Linked DNA regions of Callithrix jacchus. The protein of the gene in region 4 binds, or shares a complex with, the protein of the main gene of each other region. Links are inferred from orthologs where the notes say so. Each region holds a gene or a part of one and is shown on either strand. Other genes may lie near its edges. The genes, in order: GTF2F2, POLR1B, UBTF, POLR2F, TAF1B, TATA box-binding protein-associated factor RNA polymerase I subunit A and ERCC3.

Region 1 (3,857 bases), on a different chromosome or scaffold from region 4:
AAGTCTATAAATAAATTTGTTCTTTCTTCTCAAAACAAAACAAAATAAAAGAAACCAGTTAAGAAACTTTACAAGAATTACAGGTTTAAAAAATTTACTGAGAGAAATGAAAGTAGGGTCGTCGCTTCACCCCTGTTAACATACGGTGTTCAAGCGCCTTTTGCTCAGCATACTGCTAGTGGTCTCACTGGCATGCAGGCCGGGAGGCACCTCAGTCACTCTTTTCTTCTCCTTGATAGTGTCTGTACTCTGGCTTCAGCTCCCACGTGTTTTTGTGGATCCCTTTTACATTCTGAACTCCAATTTCTTTTAAGATTTCCTTCAGGTACACCTAAAGCAGAAACAAAAAAACCCTAATAAATGAGATTATAAAGGCAGCAAACAAAACTTAAAATAAGATGCTATGCCAAAGCACGTATGCAAGTCATAAAAACTATGCTCCCAGCTACTCGGGAGGCTGAGGCAGGAGAACTGCTTGAATCTGGGAGGCGGAGGTTGCAGTGAGCCGAGATCGCGCCACTGCACTGCAGCCTGGTGCCTGGAGACAGAGCGAGACTCTATCTCAAAAAAAAAAATGCTCCTAAAAGCTCAGCAAGATTGATCTATAAGTAAACTGCCTTTTGATTCCACATGTGTGATATGATCACTGCACTAACTATATAATCATTTGCATTAAAGGGGATAAAAGTCCTGAATGCCAATGACTTAAAAGCTAAAACAAACACAAAAAACATTAGCTGAAACACATGAAAATATTACTGGTCCTCACTCAGTGTGACACAGTACACCAAGTGTAATCTGCCGTTGAGCTCAGCAGCCTCAAGGACTCAGTTTACAGTCAGATTGAAACCAGCAGTTTCAGGGAGCAACAGCATACATAAAAAATGACTAACATTTCTGAGAATATTCTATCAAGCAGGCATACGACAGGTATTCAGAAACCTCAGTTCTAAGGTGAGTTCTCAAATTTGTTATTAGGCCACTTATTTTTTGTCATTTGTATTTACTGCTATTTGTACTTTAGCCAAGCTTGCCACACAGAGAAGGGAACAAGAAGTGATAATCAGGTTGGGCACGGTGGCTCATGCCTGTGATCCCAGCACTTTGGGAGGCCGAGGTGGGCGGATCACCTGAGGTCAGGAGTTTGAGACCAGCCTGGCCAACATGGTGAAACCCTGTCTCCACTACTAGGGAGGCTGAGGCAGGAGAATCGCTTGAATCCAGGATGCAGAGGGTGCAGTCAGCCAGACTGCACTCCAGCCTGGGCAACAAGAACCAAACTCTATTTCAACAACGACAACAAAGAAGGGATAGTAAGACATCTTCAAAAACTATCGGGGATGCAGCTTTGTGTTTTACTTCTACAAAGAAAAGAATCTGTATGATGGTGTTTTAGGTCCCTAAAAATTCAACAAACATTTACTAAATGATTAATGCAGTCATGGAAATAATGGCTATGTTAAGTGTAATATGAAACTCCACCTTTGCTTGCCAATGCTCAAGGCCAAAAAGCATTCCACAATAAGCTGCCCAATACAAAGTACAGATTTCCTTCTTAGAGAAGGAAGGAAAGTTAATTATTTTGTGTGCGTCTGCTTCAAAGAACCAGCTGCAGTATGGTGATGACTCATCCCATTGATGAAAGATAACTTTTCTTATTGATTGAAACGAGGCATTAATAAGAACAACGGCTGAGAAGCTCTTGCCTGGATATCTCAGGAGTTTTCTTCTCTTCTGCAGTGATGCTAGACGACCTGTATCAGAACCTTGTGGGAAGCCAGTTAAATAAGACACATGTTGGGTCTACCGAATCAAAGTCTTTGGGGCTAGGCCCAGGAACCTGCATTTTAACAAGTGCCTAGGTGACTCATGTGACTACATACTGCATCTGGTTTACGGTTCTTCCAGCTCTGAAACTCTAGGATCTTTGAGTCCTTAGTGTGTTTTCATTCTCAGGGCCTCATCACTGCTGGAGATGAGGTGTCACCAACATAATGTGACACCACTTTACAGTGACTGACATAACGCTCTAGAGTTCACAGTGTCCTTTTGGTCAGGGGTAGACTGTCACCTAGAAAGTACTGGAAGTCAGGGGTAGACTGTCACCTAGAAAGTACTGGAAGTCAGGGGTAGACTGTCACCTAGAAAGTACTGGAAGTCAGGGGTAGACTGTCACCTAGAAACACAAAAGCTGGCTAGTACTGGAACTACACAGAGGTTGAGGTTCATTCAGGATGGCTTAGCTCGCTGTTGGGCAGCCTTCCCATTCCATCAGCCGGCCCCAGCAGGTGGCAGCAATGGACCAAAGGAGCCCTGGGTTCCCCTGAGGCTTGCCTGCCTCCCACACCTGCGGTTGGCTTCACTAGCAGACCCGTGTGAATGAGTAAGCATAAAGGCTTGAAACATCCAGGTAATATAAAATGCAAGTCTGCCACCGGCAACAGCAGTTTTTCAAATTACATTTAAAAAACAGGACACTATTCATAAACGATTTTCTAATTGAGCAGGGTTTACAAATGGAAAATGATCGGTTGGAGACAAATGATTCTCTGTTTAGGTGCCAAGAAGGACATCTTTGTAAAATTCCAAAGAATGTTTTATTGTGAGACTGGCTAAGACGGTGCCGCACAACCAGCCACACACTGTGGATGCACAGGGTCAAAAGCGAAAAGCCACCTCCAGGAGCACTGTGGTAGCCCCACAGAGAAGACCTCTCCTGACTTCAAGTCTCGAGGGCCCATTTATAATCTAGGCCCAGAAAATGAAAAGCCTAAAAAGGGTTAAACACAGAATACTGAGAACGTATTAAGAGTACAAATTCAGTTGCTCTCATGTTCACGCTCATTCTGGTAAACTGGTAGAATATAAGGAATTATTTTTATACAAGAAGGTGTCATTCTTTTTTCCGTGTAACAGTAAAAATGGAATGAGATAATCCTGGTCTGTCAATTTTTCAAGCAACAAAATGCAATCACGGTCACAATCTACTGTGACTAGGGGGTAGGGGACACACAAACTTCCTGATTTGTAGGATGTTCTAAACTGCAATCTAAGACCTTTTTCTTTTTTTTGAGACAGCGTTTTGCTGTTATTGCCCAGGGGGGAGTGCAGTGGTGCGATCTCAGCTCATTGCAACCTCTGCCTCCTGGGTTCCAGGGATTCTCCTGCCTCAGCCTCCCCAGTACCTAGGATTACAGGCATGTGCCACCACACCTGGCTAATTTTTGTATTTTTAGTAGAGACGAGGTTTTACCATGTTGGCCAGGCTGGTCTCAAACTACCGACCTTAGGCAATCCACCCATCTAGCCTCCCAAAGTGCTGGGATTATCGGCCTGAGCCACCACACCCGGCCAAGACCATTTTACTGTAATCAAATAAATAAATTATCTTGGCAGGGAAGCAGGTACAAAGCATTAGCAGAGAAAGCAGTAGTGATGATAGGGAAAAACAAGAAAAAAAATCTCTAAAGGGAAGAAGACATGGACAGCAAACAGAGACAGCATGTCCTTCCTCTGTCTAAAATGTTTCAGTGACTTCCCCCTTTGGCCTGCACATTGAATTCCAAACGCCTTCGCAGGCATCCACTCAGGTCGGCCTTCTTCCCTGGGCCTCATCTTCCAGCACTCCCCCTTACACACACTTCCCATTTCCGTACCTGCTTCTGGGTTTTTCCATATGCTATTTCCCTTCCTTGTAATGTTTATCTCCTTTCCTCATGCTTTAAGACTAGGCTCAAACGTGACTTTCTCTAACAGCCTTACCTCGGATTCACATTTCACACTGCACATTCTTCCATGGTAGCTCTTACTATATTATAATCCGTTATTTACATGCCTTGCTCTTCATCTAACCCACA
Region 2 (3,857 bases), on a different chromosome or scaffold from region 4:
ATTTAAAAGCGGATCTCAAGTGTCCTCATCCCCCTACCCTCCACAATGCTAACCAAAAAAAGGAGAATGAAAATAAATTATTTAAACAAAAGCTAAAAAAGAATAAGGTAAACCAAAAGAAAGCGCAAATTATAACAAAGATAAAATCAGACTGATGAGGCAGGCAGATCACTTGAGGTCAGGAGTTCAAGACCAGCGGGGGCAATGTGGAGAAACCCCGTCTCTACTAAAAATACAAAAATTACCCCGGCATGGTGGTGTGCACCTGTAATCCCAGCTATTTGGGAGGCTGAGGCAGGAGAATCACTTGAACCTGGGAGGCAGAAGGTACAGTGAGCCAAGATCATACCACTACACTCCAGCCTGGGCGACAGAACAATACTCCGCCTCAAAAAAAAAAAAAAAAAAAAAAAAGGAATGATTGAATGATTGTTTAATGGGTACAGAGTTTCCATCTGTGACAGAGAGAAAGTTCTGAACATGGTGATGACTGCACAACAACATGAATGTACTTAATACCACTGAACTATACACTTGATCAAATCTCATGCTCTCTGAGCATCAAAGTAAGTAGTAACAGAATACTCACAAAATTTAACAAGCATCTATAAATCTGTGCTAACATAAATAAATGAATAACTAATAGAAAAGAAAGCCCTCTCTTACAGAATAGCAACTAATAAAGATAGAACAAATGACTGGGGGAAAACACCATGTGGTAACCATCACAGTAATATTAACTCATCAAAGAACCACCAATGTAATAGTAATTCAGCAAATAATTCATCAACTACTGGGTGAAAATGTGAAGAAAAGGGGCTCCACATAGCTTTCAACTATCTCTCCACGAGTTACTTATTACAGAGAAAACAGAAACTATGTGAATTAACCTAAAGAACACAACCTTGAGGGGATCAGTTAACATGACCCATAATGGGACAACCAACGTCATGTGCTTCCTGAAATGATAATGTGAGTCTCATCAGGAGGAAGCAAAACATAAACCTAAATTACAGGAGAGCTGTAATATTGTTAAATATCTATTTGGTTTTCCACCCTGTTTCCTGGCATACAATTCCTAAAATCCTTACACTTTGCAAAGTGATGTCTTTTTGCATGCTAGTCAGATGCACAAAAATCACTTGAACCAGACAGATCACTTGAGGTCAGGAGACCAGCCTGACCCAGATGGTGAAACCCTGCCTCTACCAAGTATACAAAAAATTAGCCAGGCATGGTGGTACGTACCTGTAGTCTCAGCTACTCGGGAAACTGAACCACAAGACACTGACTCAAAAAATTAAAACAAAAGACTGGTGGTTGACAGCATCTAGGTGGGCTTCAGGACGGGGCTGGTTACCAGAAAGACCAAGCCAGGATTAGAGGATTGGGACTTTTAGCCTTACCTTCAACCTCCAGGAAGGGAATAGGGGCTGGAGGTTAAGCTAATCACCAATGGCCAATGATTCCATCAGTCATCCTATGTAACAAAGCCTCCATAACAACCCAAAGGACTGGGTCAGGGAGTTGCCAGGGTAGCCAGGCATGGTAGTGCACTCCTGTGGTCAGGCAGCTTGGCAGCCTGACGTAAGAGGACCACTTAAGCCTGGGACATCAAGACTGCAGTGAACTGTGATTGTGCCACTGCACTCTAGCCTAGGCAACAGAATGAGACCCATCTCTTAAAAAAAAAAAGAAAAGAAAAAAGAGAACATTACTGAGACAACTGGTGGAATTTGAGTATCAACTATGGATCCCACCCACATGACCTTCTCTGATTTTCAGAAATGTACTGGGGTTATTGAAGAGAAAGTCCTTGTTCTTAGAAAAAATACACTAAAATATTTATGGAAAATGGGACAATGTCTGAATACTGCTCTCAGATGGCTCAAAAGAAACAAATTATCAAGAGCATATAGAAGATAAAGCATGTGGGGCAAAGCATAGTAACTGGTGGATTTGGGTAATGTGTATATAGGAGGGTCCTAGGTACTGATAAAACATATTTGCTCTAAGTGTAAAATTATATCAAATGAGCCACACAGTTACATTTCTAAGAATATACTCAAAAGAATTAAAAGCACAAGGACTTAAATAGATATTTGTACACTCACGTTCATAGCAGTGTTATCTGCAATGACCAAAAGGCAGAAACAACCCAAGTGACCAACAGAGCACTGAAACTAAAACTAAAATTTAGCTTAAACATTTTTTTTAAATAACACAGAATAGAATATAAACCACAAACTCATCATGTTGCCAAAGGACAATTCTTTCAATGGCATTATCAAAGCAATAAATACTCGTCACTAGGAGGAAATCCCAAAGATAAGTTATTCAAAGAATGTCATTCTACTTTTTAAAGATGTATTTTCAAAACCTAGGAGGCAATGGAGTGTAACTTCTACCTTGCATATTTTGAATATTATGGAAATATCTGTATTTTGAGATCCCTCAGATGCCACTGGTATTAAGAAGGGGGAAAAAGGTTAAAATTAGTTAGATAAGCAGACTGGGGTGCCTCAATGAAACTACCAAAGAATGTATATGGGTCAAATATCTGTCACTGACCCCAACCAATGAAACCAGTATAAGGCAAGCCTCTGTCACCAGAGGGAATGCACAGGCATTTTGGACATTCTGACCCCTGACCACCTGATCACTCTAGACTACCCAAGGGTTAACCCAAAAACTAGAAAAGAACTGAAAACCTAAGGTCAAGAAATAGGACAATTCACAAAGCTCAAGCCCACCTTAAAATGACGAAGAGAATCTGCAATGCCCAGAGCAAGCTCCTTATCCACCCAGCCAACCATGACGCCGTCCAGCAGGACAGGGTAGCACTCACTGTACGGTTGGTGGGGAGCTCCATCAACAGGAGTGACCCCTGGTAAAGGGAACAAACAGCACAATCACATTAGAATGCTTTATCCAACATTCCAGATTCCCTCCAGATGGGGTCAACAGCTGCTGGATCAGTTCAGATATCAAATTATCCTTGTCTCTAAAACAGGTACAGGCATTATTTCTTTTAATTGCACTTCAAAGATATTTCAAGTGGGCTTATCAATGCCATTTTTCCAACAGCGTGTGTTCCCTTTGTTTCTTTGTGTTGGCATTTTGGTAATTCTTGCAGTATTTCAAATATATTATTATTATACCTGTAATGGTGATCTGTGATTAATGAACTCTGATGTTACTACTGTATTTGTAGATGTGGTAGAAATATCAAGACAAGGCTGGGTGCAGTGGCTGACGTCTGTACTCCCAGCACTTAGGAAGGCTGAGGCAGGCGGATTATGAGGTCAAAAGATTGAGACCATCCTGGCCAACATGGTGAAACCCCGTCTCTATTAAAAATACAAAAATTAGCTGGGTGTGGTGGCATGCGCCTGCAGTCCCAGTTACTCAGGAGGCTGAGGCAGGAGAATTACTTGAACCTGGGAGGTAGAGGTTGCAGTGAGCAGAGATCACGCCACTGCACTCCAGCCGGGTGAGAGAGTGAGACTCCATCTAAGAAAGAAAGAAAAAAGAAAGAAAGAAAGAAAAGAAAGAAAGAAGAAAGAAAGAAAGAAGGAAGGAAGGAAGGAAGGAAGGAAGGAAGGAAGGAAGGAAGGAAGGAAGGAAGGAAGGAAGGAAGGAAAAGAAAAGAAAAGAAGGGAGGGAGGGAGGGAGGGAGGGAGGGAGGGAGGGAAAGAAAGGAAAGAAAGAAAGAAATAGCAAGACAACTAGAATTAGAAGTAGAGCCTAAAGCTGTGACTGAATTGTTGCAATCCCATAACCAAACGGAACAGGGGAGGAATTGTTTCTTAGAGAATAAACAAAGAAAATGGTTTTTTTTTTTGGTTGTTCTGTTT
Region 3 (4,516 bases), on a different chromosome or scaffold from region 4:
CTGCAAGTGAGGGGCCTAGAAGCTGAAATTTTATTAGCATCTAGTGGCATATCCGCTTCTTCTACATGCCAATGCCCTCAAAAAAAAAAAAAAAAAAAAAAAAAAAAAAAAAAGAACAGGACACACCACATCTTGACAGCATTTCCTTCCTGTTTGTGAAACGTGACAGAAGTGGGATGTGGAAGTCCTGGGAAAGGAATATCATTTCTCCCAGGAGACAAGAGGAATTACAGCAGCAGCGAGGCAGGCTGAGTGAAGGAGAAGGCTGCGTGCCAGGGGAGAGTAGAAAGGGGCTGGGTGACCCAGCTGGCCCAGATGCGGGCAGTAGAGTGTCGGTGTGGGAAACTGGTAGCCTGAGAGCCAGGAGCAATGGCGCTGCCCAGGAGCGGTGGCCCAGGCTGGAGGCTGGGCCTGTTGGAAGCAGGCTTCCTTCAGACGGCTTTCTGGCTCCCTGCGTCCGGATAACCTTTCCTCTGAGAAGGGGAGGCAAAGACAGACAACCACGGCCATGGCAGTGCAAGGGTGGGCGGTGGACCCCGTCCAGGCTTTTCATCACCCGCCTGCAGGATAGTGAACCGGGGGAAGTCTCGGTGGCGGTTGCCCCGCTGCCGCCCGGGCAGTGAGGCCGGGGTGCCGAGCTCCCCTCGCGGCTGCCCGCCGCCGCCGGGGGGCAGCGCCTGCGGCCTGCTTTCCCAGGGCTGGCCGAACCTTTTTGACAAACTGATTGCGTGGCGGGGATTGGCTGGTCGGGGCGTGACGCCGGTAACAACAAAGGTGGAGTTGGAAGAAATTAGATTAAAGGAGAGGAAAAAAATTAAAGGGGGAGCTGGCAGAGGACAGGAGGTAGAGACCGAGGGGGAGATTCGCGAAGCGGTGTCTCTCCCGGTTCCGACTACTCCACGCCCCAACCCCAGAAGATTCCTCGCACAAACCCACTGGGATTTTGCTCTTTCCCCCACCCCGGCCCAGTGGCCGATGCCGGGGTAGCAAGGATAGCCGCTGCTTCTTGAAAAATCCCGAAACTCCCACCCTGACACCCCTCACTACGAGCTAAGGAGAGAACTTTTTGCTCGGACTCCTCGGATCCTAAACCCAGCGAAGAGGGGAACATTGAGAAGCTCGTCCTAAAACCCGGAAGGCCCTCGCGGAGCACGGAGATCGGATAAGGCCGGGTGCTCCCATGGTTTTCCGATGTGTTGCAAATCTAAGAGCTTCTTTCTCGCTTTTTTTTTCCTGTAACTCCCCCCCCCGCCCCATTTTGCTTCTGGGTTGCAAAAGCAAAGAGCAATAAAAAAAAAAAAAACGCGCACACACTCAGACACACACCAGTGGCGACATGGGAGAGAGTTGGAAAGACGCAGGAGAGAGAAGCAGGAGGCAGGAAGCAGCGGGGATGGAGCAATGGGAGCGGGAAGGAGGCAGGTTTTCTCGCAAATCCCCCTCCGGCCTCAAGCCGTCTCGCCAGCCCCGGCAGGGGAGCGAGGAGCCGGGCGAACAGATGGAGGAGTGGAGCTCGCTCTAGGCAGCTGGGCTTGGCCGGAGAATGGAGGAGCCACCAAGCGACCGGCTGATTGGAAGAGAAACGCAGAGCGATGGAGGCGGGGGTAGGAGGACGATTTCTCTGCGGGGACTGGCGGCGGCGTACACGCCCGGGTCGGGCGCTGCAGAGCTTGGCTGGCTTTCAAGCCGCGCTCGCCGGCTCCAGCTCCGTGCGCCCCCCACTACTAGCCCTCCCGGCGGCTCCGCAGGTGAGTGCGAGCTGGGGGCAGAAAGATCCAAAAGTCTCAACACGCCCGCCCTGCAAAAAAGAAAAAAAAAAAAAAAAAAAAAAGGAAAGGAAAAAAAGCATTTTTCTTAAAAAAAAAAAAAAAAAATTTTCTGTGCAACCCCTAGAGCAGTGGGAGGGAAGGGGTGAGGCTGAGCAGCCCGGAGGAGGCGGAGGGGCCAGGCGAGGCCGCCGTGGCCCGGGAGGCGGCGGCGCCGAGGCGGCTCTGACGGGCAAGCGCTTGGAGCGGCGCTGCGCTGCGCCGAGGCGGGCGGGCGGGCGGGCGGAGCGGGGCGGGCGGAGCGCGGCGCGTGGGGCTCGCCATTAGCCGTCGCTCCGCTTCGCCATCTCGGGCTTTGTCTGGCGACTTGCTGCCCCGGCGTCGGCTGCAGCGGAGCTGCGGCTCGGCTATTCGGACCGCCGCGCCCCCAGGTGCCCCCAGCCCGCGCTCCCATCCACACGCTCGGTAAGTGAGCCCGGGCGCCGCGGATTTCGGGGGAGAGGGGTCGCTACGAGTGGCGGTGGCGCCGATCTCCATGCGCCCGGGCAGGCCTGGGGAGCCATGCCGGGCTGGATTGAACCGGCTCCCAGAGCGGCTTCTCCGCCGAAGCCCGTCGTTCCTTCGCCGTTTCCGGGGTGTAAAGAGCAATGGGGATTTTTTTTTTTTTTAATGCAGAGGTTTTAGTTTTTTGTTTTTTTTTTTTTTTAAGTTTCGTATGTGCCGTTCGGCAGTGAGGACCGCAAGGTAGGCACTGAAGCCGGGCGCCGCGATCGGCGTGCGTGCGCCCCAAGCCAGTGACCACGCTCTGGGGGATGAGGGTGTGCGCGGACCGCTCGCTCCGGGAGGCGGGAAAAAGCTGGCCTGGAAGCCCTAGTCTGAGCTGGGAGGACTTGGGGGAGAGCTCCGGAGCAGAGCTGTGGGCGCCCCCCGAGCCTCTCCAGCCGCCGGGGGCCCCTTTGGGCACCCTCTCCGCCGCCGCACCTCGGCCCTCCCTCTAGTGCCGGAGGAGCCTGTTAGTTCCCCCGCGGGTCTGGCGAGGTCGCTCTCGGCGCCCGCCCGCCCCGGCTCCGAGCTCCGCCGCCATCCGGGCGGCTGCGTGTCTCCCTGCCCCGGCCCCCCCCCCCGCCCGGCGGCAGCAGCAGCAGCCGCCGCCGCCGCCGCCGCCACCACCACCACCACCCCCCTCCCCTCCTTCCTTCCCTCCGCCTCGGCCGCCCGGGTCCCCCCAGCTCCCGCCCCTCCTCCCAGCTGCCCCCCGCGGAGCCCGCCCGGGCAGGCTGTGGGAGGGAGCGGAGCCGGCGAGGCGGGCGGGCTGGCGCTCGCTCCCCGGGGGTCGGTGTGCGCTCTACGGGGAAGGACGCGCTCGCTGCCCCGCTTCTCCCGCCCCCCCTCCCGCTCCTCCTCCTCCCTTCTCCCTCCTCCTCCCCGCTCCGGCGGCTGAGGCTGCGGCGGCGGCGGGGGGTGTGCGAGCTGAGGCCGGGGCCGGCGGCGGGCGGGCTGCCTGCAGGCGGAGGGCGCTGTGCTTTGTGCTTTTCGCCGCGAGGAGCAGCAGGCAGCAGCCACAGCCGCCGCCACAGCCACAGCAGCAGCAGCCGCCGCCCCAGCGCCGCCGCCTCGCCCGGAGGAGGAGCCGCTGCCGCCGCGGGAGGGAGCTGCGGCTGTGCCCGGCCGAGCGGGGGAGGGCGCCGCCGCTCAGAGCCGGGGAGGGAGCCGCCGGAGCGGGAAGCCCGGAGGCCGCTCTGCGCCGGGTAACCGAGGCGGCTGAGGACGCGCGCTAGGGTCGGGGCCTGACGGCAGGGAGCGAACCGCAGGGTGCGGTGGGCGCCCGGCTGGGAACCGGAGCAGGGGACCGGGCGCGAGCAGACCAGGGCACTGGGGAGGACGCCGAAAGCCGGGGGAGGGGAGGGCAGGAAGCGTGGCCCGAGCCGAGACCTGGCCGCTGGCGGAGGAGCCCGCGCTTCTCGGAGCCGGCAGGCGCAGTTCTCCCCGGCCGCCGGAGGGGGCGGCGGGGCCGGTGAGCGCTGCGCCCCCGCCTCCCGGCCGCCGTCCTCCCGCCCTCTGCTTGGCTCGGCTCCCCGGAGGCCAGGGCGGGGGCGCCGGCGGGGCTGGGCCGCAGGCTCGGGGGAGGAGGCGGCGGTTCCCGCCGCGGTCGCGCCTCTGCGCCGGGCTCCTCCGTGCGAGTCGGGGTGGCTGGGCGGCGGCGGCGCCTCTGGCCGGGGTAGGTGGCTCGGGGCGGGGGGCAGGCTAGGCCGCTTCTCTCCAGCTGCTCGCCCGCCTGAGCGGGCGGGGAAGGCGATGGGAGCCCGGGAGGGGGGAGCGGTGGGAATCCGAATCCGGTCCCCGGGGGCGGTGCGGCCGTTGCGCTCCGGGGCTGGCGGCGGCTGCGCTGCGTCCGGGTCCCCGCCGGGTTGCGGAGGCGGGGGGAACCGGCCGGGGGGAGGCGAGAGGAGGAGACTGGGGCGCGTGCCCGCTTCCGTGGTCGCGCGCGCCCTTTACCCGCCCTTCCTCCTCCCCCGCCCTCCAGCCTGGGGCCTCCCCGGGGCGGGCGCTCAGAGGAGGAGGAGTTTTTTTTGGCCAGGGTTGGGGAAGGAGGGCGGAGGGCGGGCGCTTGCTGCACGCGGGAGCTGGGAGCAGGCTCTCGCGTGGGCAGAGGAGGGCGCGCGCCGCGGAGCTGGGCTGCAGGGTTTGGGGGAGGGGGTCAGGAAGCAGAGGAGGGGCTCACTCCCACTCCCACAGACCCTTTAAATCCA
Region 4 (4,301 bases):
TTGAGACCAGCCTAGCCAACATGGTGAAACCCCATCTCTACTAAGAATAGAAAAATTAGCTGGGCATGGTGGCCCATGCCTGTAATACCAGCTACTCAGGAGGCTGAGGCACGAGAATTGTTTGAACCCAGAAGGCGGAGGTTGCAGTGACCCAAGATCGTACCACTGCACTCCAGCCTGGGTAAAAGAACAAGAACCTGTCTCAAAAAAAAAAAAAAAAATCAATAAGTGCAAAGATATATGTCTCGCCCACTATATAGGAAGCACTCAATAAATATCTACTTAATAAGGATCAGCCGGGCATGGTGGCTCACACCTATAACCCCAGCACTTTGGGAGGCTGAGGCAGGTGGATCACTTGAGGTCAAGAGTTCGAGACCAGCCTAGCCAACATGGAAAAATCCCATCTCTGCTAAAAATACCAAAAATGGGCTGGGCGCGGTAGCTCAAGCCTGTAATCCCAGCACTTTGGGAGGCCAAGGTGGGTGGATCACGAAGTCAAGAGATCGAGACCATCCTGGTCAACATGGTGAAACCCCGTCTCTACTAAAAAAATACAAAAAATTAGCTGGGCATAGTGGCGGGTGCCTGTAATCCCAGCTACTCAGGAGGCTGCGGCAGGAGAATTGCCTGAACCCAGAAGGCGGAGGTTGCAGTGAGCCGAGATCTCGCCATTGCACTCCAGCCTGGGTAACAAGAGCGAAACTCCGTCTCAAAAAAAAAAAAACAAAACAAAACAAAAATGAGCCAGGTGTGGTTGGTGCCTGTAATGCCAGCTACTCAGGAGGCTGAGGCACGAGAATCACTTGAACCTGGGAGGCAGAGCTTGCAATGAGCTGAGGTCACACCATTGCACTCCAACTTGGGCAACAGAGTGACACTCCTTCTCAAAATAATAATAATAATAAGTAAATCAGACTTTTGTTCCATTTTACTCCTTCAATCTTTCCCCATCTGCCCCCAGATTTTGTTAGGACTCATTCATCATCGCTGTTTGCCTCTCTACTGGATCATTCTCATCAGCCTTTTTTTTATTTTTTTTTTAAGACAGAGTCTTACTCTGTCACCCAAGCTGGAGTGAAGTGGCGCAATCTCGGCTCACTGCAACCTCCGCCTCCTGGGTTCAAGCAATCCTCCTGTCTCAGCCCCCCGCGTAGCTGGGATTACAGGCATACACCACCATGCCCAGGTAATTTTTGTTTTGAGACGGAGTTTCGCTCTTGTTACCCAGTCTGGAGTGTAATGGTGCGATCTCGGCTCACTGCAACCTCCACCTCCTGGGTTCAGGCAATTCTCCTGCCTCAGCCCCCCGCGTAGCTGGGATTACAGGCATACACCACCATGCCCAGCTAATTTTTTGTATTTTTAGTAGAGACGGGGTTTCACCATGTTGACCAGGATGGTCTCCATCTCTTGACCTCGTGATCCACCTGCCTCAGCCTCCCAAAGTGCTGGGATTACAGGCTTGAGCCACCGCACCCGGCCAATTTTTGTATTTTTAGTAACGAAAGGGTTTCACCATGTTGACCAAGCTGGTCTTGAACTCCTAACCTCAGGTGATCCACCCTCCTTGGCCTCCCAAAGTGTTGGGATTAAAGGTGTGAGCCACCACTCGGCCCATCAGTATTTCAACATGTGCTTTTCCTCAACTAAAAAAAAAAAAAAAAACCCTTCCTTCTCTTCTCCCTCCCCCTACAGCCCTAATTCCATAGTGCCCTTTGAAGCAAAAATAAGTGAAAGAGCTGTCCCTCACTGTCTACAATTCCTCTCTTCCCATCCTGTCATAATCCCACTCCAAAAAGCCTTTCACACCAAGAGCTCCATCAAAACCCCTCTTCCCAAGTTCATTAATGATCTCCACGTTGCTAAATCCAATGGCCAATTCTCAATCTCATTTAGCCTGATCTACCAGCTGACACATTAGGCCACTCGCTCTCCTCACTTGACTCCAACGACACCTCACTCTCTTGGTGTTCCCCCACCTCCCTGGCTTCTCTTTTCCTCCAAGCACTCAACGTTTGAATGCCCGAACGCTCAGCCACGGGTCATCTCCTTTTCTCTACTGACACTGAGAATGTTGTAGCAATCCCACACGTTTCTTATTTTTATCTTCACACTAAATCTCTTTGTGCCCACACATCCAACAGGTAATTTTTTTGGCTCTACTTTTAAAATAATAATATATCCAGAATTCAAAACCACTTCTCACCACCTCTGCTCCTACCACCCTACCACAAGCTACTGACTTTCACCTAGATTACTGCAACCAGGCCGGGCACAGTGGCTCACACCTGTAATCCCAGCACTTTGGGAAGCTGAGACGGGTGGATCACTTGAGGTCAGGAGTTCGAGACCAGTCTGGCCAGCATGGTGAAACCCCATCTCTGCTAAAAACAAAACAGCCAGATGTGGTGGCACATGCCTGTAATCCCAGCTACTCGGGAGGCTGAGGCAAGAGAATCCCTCCTTGAACCTGGGCGGCAGAGGCTGCAGTGAGCTGAGATCGCGCCACTGCACTACAGAGCCTGGGCGACAGAGCAAGACTCCGTCTAAAAAAAAAATAAAAATAAGATTACTGCAACCAACCCTTCCAGACTTGTATTTAATGCCACCGGTGGAGCTGCCCCAGACCCTTCTCTGGAGAACTCCTATATTACATACTTCTAGAACTGGAGAAGCTCACGCGACTCCCATGACCTGTTTACTTACTTATGGGCCTGTGCCCCCTGTTCTAGAAAGCGAGCACGTGGAGGGCAGGGACGATTCCTCATTCACCTCAATATTCCCATGACACAGAGCCCGGCTCACCGAAAGACACCTTTCCTACGGATCCTATCCGGACCCTCGAGCCAGGAGCTTCCCGTGCCCGGTCTCCGGTCGGGCCGATGCTCCTGGGTCCCCGCCCTTTCCTTCCCCGGCACCGCCTGCCCCCTCAGGCCGCCAATCCCCTCAGACGTTGCCCCTCGACGCCAGGCTCCTCAGCCGCCTTCGACCCACGCCTTGCCTCATCTGCCCCTTCTGAGGTTGCCGCAAAGGCCACTTGGCTCTCGCACTCACTTGTCCTCGTTGTCTGACATGACACCCTAGTCTCTGCGACGCCGCTGCTCCCCAGTGCCGCGCGGAGACCCGCAAACGGCTCCACTACGACTCGCGCGGCGCCACGATTATCCTGCGCTTGCGCGGTAACCCAGAGGCATCACTTCCGGGAGGCAGGACGGCGCGAGAGAGAAAGGGCGCATGCGTTGACTCGTGGGCGCGTTACCATGGTAGCCACGGTAGCCACAGTTGTTAGTTGCCAGCTCTAGCAGCCCAGATCGCGTAGGATTTCTACGTGGCACCGGTGCGGCTGCGGCTGTAAAGCAGTGGTCACCGCCTCCGAGAGCTCACCTCTATGTGGAGAAGGGAGCACCCAGAGGAGGTCTTAGGGTGAAATTTCAATTTTGGCATATCTCTCAGTGGGTACTGTTCTGATCTGGCTATGTTAACACTGCCTTCCTCCCGAGGGGACTTCCCTGCCACAGGCGCTGGGTCAGAATGAGGACTCTGTGTGTGTATCTGTCTGTGTCCGGATGGGAGGTTTGGGCACTGTCTCGATATTAAATGGCGGCATCACGATTCTCTGGCTGGATCCCCGCTTCCAGACTTCTAGGGTGGTGGGCGTGGGGAAGAGGAAATTAGGGATAGGAGACAGAGGGTGTGTCTTTGCATCCTTCCCTCCTCAGGGTCCTTGCATGGCTTCACAGAAGATAGAAGTAGTGACCAAAGCAACGGGGTTCCGGCGCCGCCCCAAGAAGACCACTTACACCCCGGGGACCTGCGAGCTGCTCGAAGGTCAGTGCTTTAAAGCAGCGATCCCCAGCCTTTTTGGCACCAGGGACCGCTGTCGTGGAAGACAAGAACGGTTTCGGGATGAAACTGTTCCACCTCAGATCATCAGGCATTCCTTAGATTCTCATAAGGAGCCTGCAACCTAGATCCCACGCGTGCGCAGTTCACAATAGGGTTCACGCTCCTATGAGAATCTAAGGCTGCCACTGACCTGAAAGGAGGCGGTGACGCTCGCTAGCCCGCTGCTCACCTCCTGCTGTGCGGCCCTGTTCCTAACAGGCCAGGGACTGGTGTCAGTCCAGGAACGGGGGACGGGGCAGGTGGGGGACGGGTGGAAACCCGAGTTAAAGGATGAGAAAAGAATGATGGTAGTTACCCTCTGTAACTCAGTTCTCCCCTACCTGACCTGTGGCTTAGCAATTATTGCTATTTTCCTTTACAGATAAGGAGCCTGGGGTTCAGGAAGCTTCCAA
Region 5 (2,691 bases), on a different chromosome or scaffold from region 4:
CCAGCCTAGGCAATGGGATATGTTTTCATATCCCTTACTCAGCTTGTCTTTTTCCTTTTGCTTTGCAAGAGCTACTGATACATTAAAGAAATTATTCCTTAGGCCGGGTGCAGTGGCTCATGCCTGTAATCACAGCACTTTGGGAAGCCGAGGCAGGTGGATCGACACCATCCTGGCTAACACAGTGAAACCCCATCTCTACTAAAAATACAAAAAATTAGCCGGGCGTGTTGGCACACACCTGTAGTCCCAGCTACCAGGAGGCTGAGGCAGGAGAATCGCTTGAAACTGGGAGGTGAAGGTTGCAGTGAGCCGAGGGTGTGCCACTGCACTCCAGCCTAGGAGACAGAGCAAGACTCTGTCTCAAAAAAAAAAAAGAAATTATTCCTTTGTCCATTGTATGCTGCAAAAATTGACTTTGCCATTCCAAGATCATCAAAGCATTTGTATTTATTTTCTGCTAATACTTTTATATTTTTAAGTATGAAAGATTAAGTTTAAATCTTTGATCCATCTGGGATTTACTCTGGGGAATAAAGAATATGGAAGGGATCTAGTTTAAAAAAATTTAGCTTTAAAGGACAATTAATACACATTTCTGGATACAATTATACAATTTATTGTTGTTTTAACTTTCTCTTAGAATATTCATACTCTGAAAAATAAAATCAAACAAAGCTTACCTGCTTTACAATATACATTTTTCTAAGCACACTTGATACATATGTAAATATGTGTCAGAGTATATACATATATATGCAGTATTTTCCATAATTCTTTGGAATGTTATATTAAAATCTGATGTTACTATTAAGATCTTTTTCCAAAAAAGTTTCATTTTCTCACTATCGTCTCCGTTTCTTGGATTTTGATTTCTTTTTTGTTACACTGTATTTTTTCTTAAAAAGTTCCTTTTCAACTAAACTCACTTCTTCATGGAGAAGGGAAGCCTTTATTCTGAGCAGGAAGGAGAAGAGATTTAGTATAAACTGATAACTCAGAGAATAATTTGATTCCTCGTAGGTTGTCACGTGTGTACAATAGCTAGAAGAGAAAAAGAAAAAAAGAATTTCTCTTGAGCTTATAACTGAGAAATGCACATATTAATCCCTGAACCTCCCCACAAATAACTTAGCAAATATATATGGTTAGGTTTAAAACAGTACCCTGAGCTAGAAGGAAACTCAGAACAATCTGGTAACTCCTTAACTGCACAAAGGAAAACATTTTCACACTGTGCATGGCCACCACACAAGGGCCACAGGTGGTTCTAGGAACTGCTCTTTCAACTCTTTGCTCAAAGTTTCTTCGCTCCAGATAGGCCACCACTCCACCCTCTTACCATGGTCAAGGCAAACAAAAGCAAACAGGGAGAGATTCTAAAACGAACTAAAGAAAACAAATAATCCCAACTGCTACCCAAAATAAGAGGCCAAACTTTATAACGTGGCTTGCAGTACTATATGTATTGCGATAGAAGAGTTTACCAAGCAATTTCCCTTATTTTAAAATAGTAAAACCCAAATCTGATCAAATCTCTAACTAATGCTAACTGCCAATCTCTTTTTCTTTTTTGAGATGGAGTCTTGCTCTGTTGCTCAGGCTGGAGTGCAATGGTGCGATCTCGGCTCACTGCAACTTCTGCCTTCCAGGTTCAAGTGATTCTCCTGCCTCAGCCTCCTGAGTAGCTGGGACTACTGCCTTCTGGGTTCAAGTGATTCTCTTGCCTCAGCCTCCTAAGTAAGCCAGGCTAATTTTTTTTTGTATTTTTAGTAGAGATGGGGTTTCACGTGTTAGCCAGGATGGTCTTGATCTCCTGACTTCGTGATCTGCCTGCCTCAGCCTCCCAAAGTGCTGAGATTACAGGTGTGAGCCACAGTGCCTACCTTTATTTATTTATTTATTTATTTTTTTAACCTACTTTTTTTTTTTTTTAAAGATGGAGTCTGGCTCTGTCTGCCAGGCTGGACTGCAGTGGTGGGATCTCGGCTAACTGCAACCTCTGCCTCCTGGGTTCGAGTGATTCTCCCACTTCAGCCTCCCAAATAGCTGGGACTACAGGCGTGCACCTCCATGCCCAGCTAATTTTTATATTTTTAGTAGAGAGGGGGTTGGCCAGTCTGCTCTTGAACTCCTGACTTCAGGTGATCCACCCATCTGAGCCTCCCAAAGTGTTGGGATTACAGGCATGAGCCACTGCACCTGCCATAACTGCCAATCTCAAACTCTAACTACACCAAACATAGGGTATCCAGGGACAGAGGAAGAGGTTAAATGGTATTGTATGGCACTGTCATAGGCAAAATCCAGACTATGAGAAATTGGTGGGACACATGACCAGGATTACTCAATAAGTACACTGTAAAAGGAAAGAGAGAGAGAGTGAGAGAAGGGGGGGTGGTTTCCTCATGAACTGAAACTCTTACAGGCCATGTCAACCACCTGCAATATATGAGCCTGATTTGGATTCTGAGTTAAATTCATTTAAAAAATTATATGACAGTTGGGAAAATCTAACCATTGACTGCATGTTTGATAATATTAAGAAATTACTATTTTTTTATATCTGATTAATGGTATTACAGTTTTACTTTTAAAAATATGATGTTTGAGGTCTGCTTCCAAATAATAGGGGGCAGAGGAGTAGAGTGAGCTGGAGCCTGGGTGAAGCAAGTCTTGCCATGTCACAAG
Region 6 (4,546 bases), on a different chromosome or scaffold from region 4:
ATGCGGTGTATCTGGGGTGTGTGAGGTGGGCATGGTATATATGTGGTGTGTGGTGTATACAGGTTAAGTATGGCGGGTGTGTGAGGTGGCTATGATATGTGTATGGTGTGTATAAGGTGGGCATGGTAGTATGTGTGGTGGTTGTGGTGTATATAAGTTAAGCGTATGGTCTGTGAGACAGGCATGGTATATATGTGGTGTGTGAAGTGGGTATGTGTGTTGTGGGGGGGTATGTGCGTTGTGGGGGGGGTATGTGCGTTAGGTGGGTACGATACACGTATGGTGTGTGAGAGGTGGGCAAGGTATATATGTAGTGTGTGGTGTGTGAGGTGGATATGTGTGTTGTGTGTGGTGTGTATGGGGTGTGAGTTGTGTGTGTGAGGTGGGTATGTGTGTGGTGTATGTGTGGGACATACGGGTTAAGTGCCTGGTGTGTGTCAAGTGGGCATGGTATACATGTGGTGTGTGAGGTGGTTATGATATGCATGTGATGTGTATGGGGTGTGTGTGAGGTGGGTGTGATATGTGTGTGGTGTATATGGGTTTAGTGTGTGGGGTGTGTGGGGGGCATGGTATGTGTGTCATGTGTGGTATGTATGGGGTATGTATGAGGAGGGTATGTGTGTTGTGTGTGGTGTGTATGGCGTATGTGTGGTGTGTGTAGGTTGGCATGGTGTGTGGTATGTGTGAGGTGGGTATGATATGTGTGTGGTGTATATTGGTTCAGTATGTGGGGTGTGTGAGGTGGGCATGGTATGTGTGTCCTGTGTGGTAATGTGTAGTATGTGTGAGGTGGGTGTGATATCTGTGTTGTGTGTGGTATTAGGAATGTGTGTGGTGTGTCAGGTGGGTATGCTATGTGTGGTATGGGGTATGTGTGTGGTATATGAAAGATGGACATGGCATGTTTGTAGTGTGTGAGAGGTGCGTATGATACATGTGTTGTGTGTGGTATGTATGGGGTATGTGTGTGGGGTGTGAGGTGCGAATGGTATGTGTGCAGTGTGAGATGGATATGATATGTGTGGTGTGTATGGGGTATGTGTGTGGGGTGTGAGGTGCGCATGGTATGTGTGCAGTGTGAGATGGATATGGTATGTGTGGTGTGTATGGGGTATGTGCGTGTAGTGTGAAGTGGGCATGGCATGTTTGTAGTATGTGACAGGTGGGTATGTGTGTTATGTATGGGGTATGTGTGTGGGGTGTGTGAGATGGGCATGGTACATGTGCAGTGTGAGCATGGGTATGTGTGTGGTGCATATACATATGCACACACATGCATACCTGTGCACTGTAGATGACAGGCAGGCTGGCAGCCCGGGACATGCAGCGGTGACCAGCTCAGCCAAGGCAGGGCTCTGGGAGGGAGTCACCAGGCCCCTGGCAGCTCAGGATCCTGGATACACTAAGAGCCAAGGAGGAGAGAACAAGCTGTGTCACCACCTCCACCCAAGTTCATCACTAACATGAACCTGTAAGCTGCACTGAAACTGTTCCACTTGTGATTAGAACCAGAAACACTCCAGATGGGCTCAGCACAGCCAAGGGGGGTGGAACTGTCCTCAATGTTCTCCACCATTTGTGGCCAGATCTACCACCAGCAGCCTTGCCAGGCAGTGCCTGCCTTGGGGAAGGGGCCTAGCCCACGGCAGGTCCCCGCTGTGCTCCCGGCCCGGCGCCTGCAGTCCAGGGGCAAGGGCGGGGTGTGGAGTCTTTAAGTGATAATTTTTTCCCTCTGGGCCTTATTATAAAAGGAAAGGGAAGGGGAAAAAGATCCTAGCTCAGGGTCTCCGGGGACAGCGAACCCAAAGGCGACCCCAACCCAGTTGCCGTCCGGCACCGGGAGTTGATGCCAGCGCCAAGCGAGGATGGGGAAACGCAACCAGCAGCCCGTCCAGCCCGGCGGCAGGACCCAAGTGCCCCCCCAACCCCCAGACAGCACTTCTAGCCGGCGCCGGGTGGCCGTCCGCCACAAGCACCCCCCCCCACACCCAACCCGGGGATGCGAGAGCACCGCCCAGTACCCGCTGCACCCACCCACCAGTCGTGGGAGAGGGAAGTGGCCGGTAGGAGTGGGGCCGCTGGGCTGCACCCCCAGATCCCAGCAACAGCCGCTCCGCAGCCCCGCCGAGTCCACAGGGCAGTGCTCGAGAACACTGGGGCTGCAACCTCGGGCCGCCCCCACGCATCCGGGTCCCTGCAGTGCCACGGGAGGCCCCAGGCTGCCACCGGTGGCGACTCAGGCAGCCCGGCCCCCCGCCCAGCTTACCTGGCCAGGGAGCAAGGCTGCTTCAGCGCGGTGCAGTCCCCGCCCCGCCGCCGCCCACCGCGTCGGCGAAGCCGAGCTCCTCAGCACGCCCATGCCCAGCAGCACACACCCAGCCTGGCGCCTGCAGCCCAGGGGCAACGCGGTGTAGGGTTTTTAATTGAGAAGGTTTTTCCCGCTGGGCCTTACTATAAAAGGAAACGGAAGTGGGACAGGATCCCGGCTCTGGTTCTCCAGCCACGGAACGCACCAGCGGCCCGGCCAGCCCTGTGGGACCTGAGCGGGAGCCCTTCCTCCCTCACCACTTCCCCCACCCCCACCCCCGTCAGATAGCGCCTGTAGCCGGCACAAGTGGCCTGTCGCTGCGGCGACCTAGCGCGGGATGTGAGAGCCGCCGGTCGTGGGAGGAGGAAGTGGCGGTAGGAAAGGAGTGGGGCCGCCGGGCTGCACTCCCAGATCTCAGCAACAGCCACCCCGCAACCCTGCAGCCCTGCGGAGTCCAGAGGGCTGCGCTCGGAGAACTAGAGCCGCAACCTCCGCGCCGCCCCACACTCCTCAGGGTTCCTGCGGTACGGCGCGAGGCCGCAGGCTGCCACTGGCGAGTCAGGCAGCCCGGGTCCCGCAGCTTACCTGGCCAGGGCGGGAGCTGCTGCAGCGCGCTGCGGTCCCACCGAGTCGCCGCCCGCTACGTCCGCTCCTCAGCCGAGCTCCTCAGCGAGCCGGCGCAGAACCGCACAAACCTTCTGCAGCGGAGTAGCCCCGGGCGCGTCCCGGAAGCGGTGTACGGCAAGCCCGCAGGGCCGCCTCTACCGGGCGCACGCGCACTCACCTAAGCCTGCGCGACACGCTCCGGAACTGCTCCTTCGCCTCACCCGCTCGAGTCACTGGGGCCGGAAACGCTTCCAGGAGACACGGCGCGGCGGAAAGAGATGGAATACAAAGATGATGTGTCGGAGCCGGACGTACACAGGGCCCCGCGCCCCCTGGCCCCGGCGTTGGGACAATCGGCAGGGCGGGGGGGTTCACTCTAACCCGGGTGCGCGGGGCTGATCTCCCGGACCCGGGATGGAGCTCAGACGCTGGAAGGCGCGGCGTCCCCGAATGCCCCGGGACCTGGGGAGCACCCAGATTCCCGAGGCACGTCCTGGCTCTGCTGGCTCGGGAGCTGCAGGGGTCTGGTCCCGCGGGTAGAGCCGGAGAGCACGAGGCTCCCACCGTGCCATGGCTGCCGCACTGCACCCTGCTCACTCTTCCCCGCCCACCACCGCAGTTGTAAGAGGCGACCCTAGAGCAAGGAACCCTCGGGGATCGCCGCCTCCGAAAGCGCCATCCGGCAGGAGAGGCTCCCTGCTGCCTCCCCACCGCAGATCCCCTAGGAGCGTGCAAGACTCCAAGTCTTCCCTACGGTCCCTTCCAAGGACCCCAGCAGCCCGTCCCTCCTAGGGCCTCACTCCAGGCCATTCTCTCCTTGCTGTCCTGAATGGAGAGGACCCTGACCTCCGTGGGGCCCTGGGGAGCCAGTCTTCGCCCCCATAGCGTGAGAAATTCCCTGGAGGCTCTGGAAGGTCGCGCCAGAGACTCTGGTGTCACCTTCGGCCCTCTGGCCCTTTCGTCGAGTCCCAGGCGGATGTGGTAAGCTGTGGGAGATGCACAGGGTGCCTTTTCTGGGCCAAGCTGGGGCTCAGGTGCCTCCCTCCCTGAGTGATTTGCCTTCTTTTCTCCTTGTGGCTGCATTACGTGAAGCTGTGTCCGAAGTGGGGGGTAAAGGACAGGGGACCTAGGGGATGAGGAGAGCCCATCTTCCTGCTGCCTTGAGGGCCCGAGCTGAGACCTTGAGAAGGGGCTGGGGGAAGCTGAATCCTGAGCTGCACTAAGGTTAGATACAGTGTGGACTTGGCCTCTCCACACTCTGCCCCCACCAAACACTCACAAATCCCTAGGGCCGGAGGTGCCAGTGGGGGCTGCTCCTGGTAGGGCAGCTTTATAGCCACAGGGCCAAACAAAGGGGCAAAGGCAGAGCTAGGGCAGGCCAGCGAGATTCGTGACCCCCTCCCTGCTCAGGTGAGCATACCTTCACTGCTTACTTTCTACCTGGATAGACATTCTGTTTACCTGGCCAACACAAAGTTCATCCAGCCTCCTGTGCCCCAGCCTTTCTTCAATGTTAATGGTGGGAAGCAACAATTACAAAGCAATGATTTCAAGAAGATAAGTTCAGTCATCTTTTTGTCTGATCGTTATGTGGTCACATCCCATAGGAAAACAGCTGTGTCTGAAGCT
Region 7 (3,857 bases), on a different chromosome or scaffold from region 4:
GCACATCAGTATTTTTTATTCTGGCCACTCTAATTGGCATACAGGAACATCCTGCGGGTAGGTTTAACTTACAGTTCCCTGATGGCTAATAAGGTTGAATACTTTTTCAGGTGCTTCTTTGACATAAGTAATGCCTTTTTTGGTGAAATGTCTGTCAATTTCTTTTGCCTATTTTTTTACCTTTTTGCCATTGCCTAAATATCTAACAGGAAACTCAAATTCATATATCTAAAGCGCTACTTCTGATAGTCACCTTCCAGACCAGCTCCTTTGACAATGTCCCCCATCTCTGATAGCACTGCCCACTCTATCTTCCCTTTGTTTGAGCCAAAAACCTTAGTGTCATTCCTGATTTCTCTCTCTGATCCCCCCATTTGACCTGTGAGTTAAAAGCTTCACTACAAATCCAGAGTTGGATCATACTTTCATCCTTACTGGTTCACACTTCTTATTGGAATTCTACAAACCCACTTCACTGCTTCCATCTTGCTTCCCTCAGTCTATTCCCGGCACAGCAGCCAGGGTGGTATTTTTAGAGTGTAAAGTCAGCTCACATCACCCTCTGCTCAAACCCCTTAGATGTCTTCACACTAAGAGTACAACACCAAAGTTCTTGCTGTCGCCTACAAGGTCCTACAAGATCTGCCCCAATACCTCTATCCTTCCTCAGCCTTGACTACTGTTTCTATGTTCTTTCTCCTCTGGCAGCATGGCCATCTTGTGCTGTCTCTCTGTGCCAAGTACTTTCCCACAGCAGAACCCATACCCTGCAACACCCATCAGAAAGACCTCCAATCCCTCCCTGGCCAGCTGTGAACATCTCTAGGTATCTCCTGAAACTCATCAGTGCACAGAAAGAGCCAGATGCGGGGGCCATTTTGACAACATTTTGAACACTACCTGGGAAATGCCTCAGATTTCATTTTGTTCATAGAAACGTCTATTCCAGACTTCTTAATTTACCCTAATCGTTCTTCTTTTTTTTTTTGGAGATAGGGTCTCACACTCCGTCACCCATGCTAGAGTGCAGTTGCACAATCATGGTTCACTGCAGCCTCAACCTCCCAGGTTCAAGTGATCCTCCCACCTCAGCTTCCTGAGCAGCAGGGACCACAGGTGCACGCCACCACATTTGGCTAATTAAAAAAACTTTTTTGTAGAGACATGTGTCACTATGTGACCCAGGCTGATCTTAATCTCCTGCGCTCAAGCAATTCTCCTGCCTTCACCTCCCAAAGCGCTAGAGGACTACAGGTGTCAGCCACCATGCACAGCACTAACCTGTTAATCAAAATCCCTTAATCTGTTTTTATCAAAAAAGATTCACCCAAAAAACTATGCAGTTATAAAAGAAACAAATTACTGATAAATGCTAAGGCACATATGAACCATTATGTGAAGTAAAAGAAGCCAGACATAAGAAAATAAATTTTCCATAAATCTATAGTGACAGAAAGCAGTTCAGTGGCCGCCTGAACCAGACAAAGAAACAAAGACTGACTGCAAATGAGTATAAAGGAAGTCTAAAACTGGATCATGGTGGCTGGATGCAGTGGCTCACATCTGTAATCCCAGTACTTTGGGAGACCCAGGCGGGCAGATCACATGAGGCTGGAGTACAAGACCAGCCTGGCCAAGATGGCAAAACCCCGTCTCTACTAAAAATACAGAAATTTGGCCAGGCGTGGTGGCTCACACCTGTAATCCCAGCACTTTGGGAGGCTGAGGCGGGTGGATCATCTGAAGTCAGGAGTTCGATACCAGCCTGACCAAAATGGAGAAACCCTGTCTCTACTAAAAATACAAAATTAGCATGGTGGCGCATGCCTGTAATCCCAGCTACTCGGGAGGCTAAGACAGGAGAATCGCTTGAACCCGGGAGGCAGAGGTTGCAGTGAGCCAAGACCATGTCATTGCAGCCTGGGCAACAAAAGCGAAACTCCGCCTCAAAAAAAAAAAAATACAAAATTAGCCAGCTACTCGGGAGGCTGAGGTAGGGGAATCACTTGAACCAAAGAGGCAGAGGTTGCCGTGAGCCAAGATCACACCACGGCACTCCAGCCTGGGCAACAGAGTGAGATGCCATCGCAGGAAAAAAAAAAAAACTTGGATCATGGTAATGGCTGCACACTGCTCCACAAATTTACTACAACGCACTGGATTACATATTTGCAAGGTGTGATTTTATGGTATATAAATTAAATCAATACAGCAGCTTTAAAAAAGGTTTGCCCGTAATACTCGAAGAAGCAGGGCTTCTTTTACATACTGACTAAGAATCAACATTTCAGGCTTCAAAGAAAACACATCACCACCGCTGCGGAAGGGTTTTTCAGTGCTCCTAATCCAGTTTTTAGAGGGCCATTAAAAAACTGATTAAGCTGAGCAGCAAAAGAAAGATGGAGGAAAGAAAGTTTCATTTTCTATATGACTACTGAGCCAGTGATTAAGAAAGCTGTAAATGTGAACACTCCTGCCTGCATCCCACCCAAACTTAAGCATTATTAAAAAGCTTTACCCAACACTTCTTTTTAGCCAGTTGGGTGGGCTACACAGCAGTCCCTCTCCCAAACTAACAAATGGAAATTGGTCTGTCTGTTCAACAAGCGGACAGCTCAACTCCAGACGGCTTACCTGGTATAGTGTGCACTTCGTCCAGGATCATGAGGCCCCACTCCTGGGTCTTGAGCCACTCCATGACTCGCTCGGCCTCCCAGGACCTTTTGGTGGTGTGGCCCAGCATGGAGTAGGTGCTAATGGCAACGGAGCAGCCAATGGGCTTGTCCTTGGCGTCGGAGGTGAACCGGCAGATCTGGCTGTCGTCAATGGTGGACCACATCTTGAACTGGGCTTTCCACTGCTCCACAGAAACAGCTGAGTTGCCCAGCACCAAACAGCGTTTTCTGACAGTGCATGCAGCAGTCACACCAACCAGGGACTTTCCAGCACCTACAAGAAACAACATTAAGTTCCCACCCAAGGATAGGCTGAAATGAAGGACAGGAACAGGCAGAGTGACTCTTAAGTACAGCAATCTAGGACAATGTCTTGTAATAGTTTGCAGAGCTGACATCTGTGTGACACACATGGCTCCAGCCTGTTTTCTTCTTTATAATGAGAAGACACGCCCACCTCACACACATGTGAGAATTAGCAGGTGCTGGGGCCTACTGCAGCACTTCACATGTATCTCATTTAAATGTTAAAATCTCAAACCAGTGAGAAGAGAAATGCCTACTACTGCCATTTTAAAGACAGAAAAACCAGGCTGGGTGTGGTGGCTCACACCTGTAATCACGGCACTTTGGGAGGCCAAGGTGGGTGGATCACTTGAGGTCAGGAGTTTAAGACCAGCCTGGCCAACATGGTGAAACCCACCTTTACTAAAAATACAAAAAATTAGATGGGCATGGTGGCAGGCACCTATAATCACAGGTATTCAGGAGACTACTTGAACTCAGGAGGCGGAGGTTGTAGTGAGCCGAGATGGTGCCACAGCACACTCCAGCCTGGACGACAGAGCAAGACTTTGTCTTGAAAAGAAAAAAGAAACACTAAAGCCGAGGAGTACCTTACCTTGCCCACAGCCAAAGGACAGTAACGCCACTGGGGTACAGCATGCCTAGCCCACAGGAGAAGGGACTTGGCAAAAGTCCACTATCATTATTACACGGTAAACGGGACTGAGAACTCAGGGATGCACTGAGTGTGTACAGACAAGATGAAACTCCAGGAGCTTCTGAGTTTACTACCATCCACCGTTTGAAGATCAAGATAAAAATCAAGCTTTTCCATTAAACAGAGATCCTTCCTTTATTACAAAAATACATTCTGTGCTCGCTTCGGCAGCACATATA

The links.
Region 1: POLR2F (region 4) and GTF2F2 share a complex: the UniProt entries of both Homo sapiens proteins name them as parts of the TBP-based Pol II pre-initiation complex. The link is inferred for Callithrix jacchus from reciprocal best matches to the Homo sapiens genes POLR2F and GTF2F2.
Region 2: POLR2F (region 4) and POLR1B share a complex: the UniProt entries of both Homo sapiens proteins name them as parts of the pol I pre-initiation complex. The link is inferred for Callithrix jacchus from reciprocal best matches to the Homo sapiens genes POLR2F and POLR1B.
Region 3: POLR2F (region 4) and UBTF share a complex: the UniProt entries of both Homo sapiens proteins name them as parts of the pol I pre-initiation complex. The link is inferred for Callithrix jacchus from reciprocal best matches to the Homo sapiens genes POLR2F and UBTF.
Region 5: POLR2F (region 4) and TAF1B share a complex: the UniProt entries of both Homo sapiens proteins name them as parts of the pol I pre-initiation complex. The link is inferred for Callithrix jacchus from reciprocal best matches to the Homo sapiens genes POLR2F and TAF1B.
Region 6: POLR2F (region 4) and TATA box-binding protein-associated factor RNA polymerase I subunit A share a complex: the UniProt entries of both Homo sapiens proteins name them as parts of the pol I pre-initiation complex. The link is inferred for Callithrix jacchus from reciprocal best matches to the Homo sapiens genes POLR2F and TAF1A.
Region 7: POLR2F (region 4) and ERCC3 share a complex: the UniProt entries of both Homo sapiens proteins name them as parts of the TBP-based Pol II pre-initiation complex. The link is inferred for Callithrix jacchus from reciprocal best matches to the Homo sapiens genes POLR2F and ERCC3.

Annotation. Positions count from the first base shown.
Region 1 is NC_133506.1:164,482,025-164,485,881, reverse strand, and holds part of GTF2F2 (general transcription factor IIF subunit 2), read right to left. Parts: intron 332-3,857; coding exon 212-331; 3' UTR 1-211. UniProt on the Homo sapiens protein: TFIIF is a general transcription initiation factor that binds to RNA polymerase II and helps to recruit it to the initiation complex in collaboration with TFIIB.
Region 2 is NC_133515.1:22,030,197-22,034,053, forward strand, and holds part of POLR1B (DNA-directed RNA polymerase I subunit RPA2), read right to left. Parts: intron 2,888-3,857; coding exon 2,754-2,887; intron 1-2,753. UniProt on the Homo sapiens protein: Catalytic core component of RNA polymerase I (Pol I), a DNA-dependent RNA polymerase which synthesizes ribosomal RNA precursors using the four ribonucleoside triphosphates as substrates.
Region 3 is NC_133506.1:71,070,872-71,075,387, reverse strand, and holds the start of UBTF (nucleolar transcription factor 1), read left to right. Parts: upstream 1-1,614; 5' UTR 1,615-1,748; intron 1,749-2,116; exon of another isoform or gene 2,117-2,231; intron 2,232-2,475; 5' UTR 2,476-2,510; intron 2,511-3,460; exon of another isoform or gene 3,461-3,578; intron 3,579-3,843; exon of another isoform or gene 3,844-3,984; intron 3,985-4,414; exon of another isoform or gene 4,415-4,516. UniProt on the Homo sapiens protein: Recognizes the ribosomal RNA gene promoter and activates transcription mediated by RNA polymerase I (Pol I) through cooperative interactions with the transcription factor SL1/TIF-IB complex.
Region 4 is NC_133502.1:208,954,994-208,959,294, reverse strand, and holds the start of POLR2F (DNA-directed RNA polymerases I, II, and III subunit RPABC2), read right to left. Parts: upstream 2,927-4,301; 5' UTR 2,772-2,926; coding exon 2,710-2,771; intron 1-2,709. Other genes in the region: C1H22orf23 (UPF0193 protein EVG1), read left to right, coding at 3,732-3,831. UniProt on the Homo sapiens protein: DNA-dependent RNA polymerase catalyzes the transcription of DNA into RNA using the four ribonucleoside triphosphates as substrates.
Region 5 is NC_133515.1:105,053,859-105,056,549, forward strand, and holds the end of TAF1B (TATA box-binding protein-associated factor RNA polymerase I subunit B), read right to left. Parts: intron 1,045-2,691; coding exon 846-1,044; 3' UTR 596-845; downstream 1-595. UniProt on the Homo sapiens protein: Component of RNA polymerase I core factor complex that acts as a GTF2B/TFIIB-like factor and plays a key role in multiple steps during transcription initiation such as pre-initiation complex (PIC) assembly and postpolymerase recruitment events in polymerase I (Pol I) transcription.
Region 6 is NC_133520.1:17,676,518-17,681,063, forward strand, and holds the start of TATA box-binding protein-associated factor RNA polymerase I subunit A, read right to left. Parts: upstream 3,039-4,546; 5' UTR 2,897-3,038; intron 2,455-2,896; exon of another isoform or gene 2,270-2,454; intron 1,406-2,269; 5' UTR 1,327-1,405; coding exon 1,285-1,326; intron 1-1,284. UniProt on the Homo sapiens protein: Component of the transcription factor SL1/TIF-IB complex, which is involved in the assembly of the PIC (pre-initiation complex) during RNA polymerase I-dependent transcription.
Region 7 is NC_133507.1:37,190,096-37,193,952, reverse strand, and holds part of ERCC3 (general transcription and DNA repair factor IIH helicase/translocase subunit XPB), read right to left. Parts: exon of another isoform or gene 3,834-3,857; intron 2,950-3,833; coding exon 2,635-2,949; intron 1-2,634. UniProt on the Homo sapiens protein: ATP-dependent 3'-5' DNA helicase/translocase. Binds dsDNA rather than ssDNA, unzipping it in a translocase rather than classical helicase activity. Component of the general transcription and DNA repair factor IIH (TFIIH) core complex.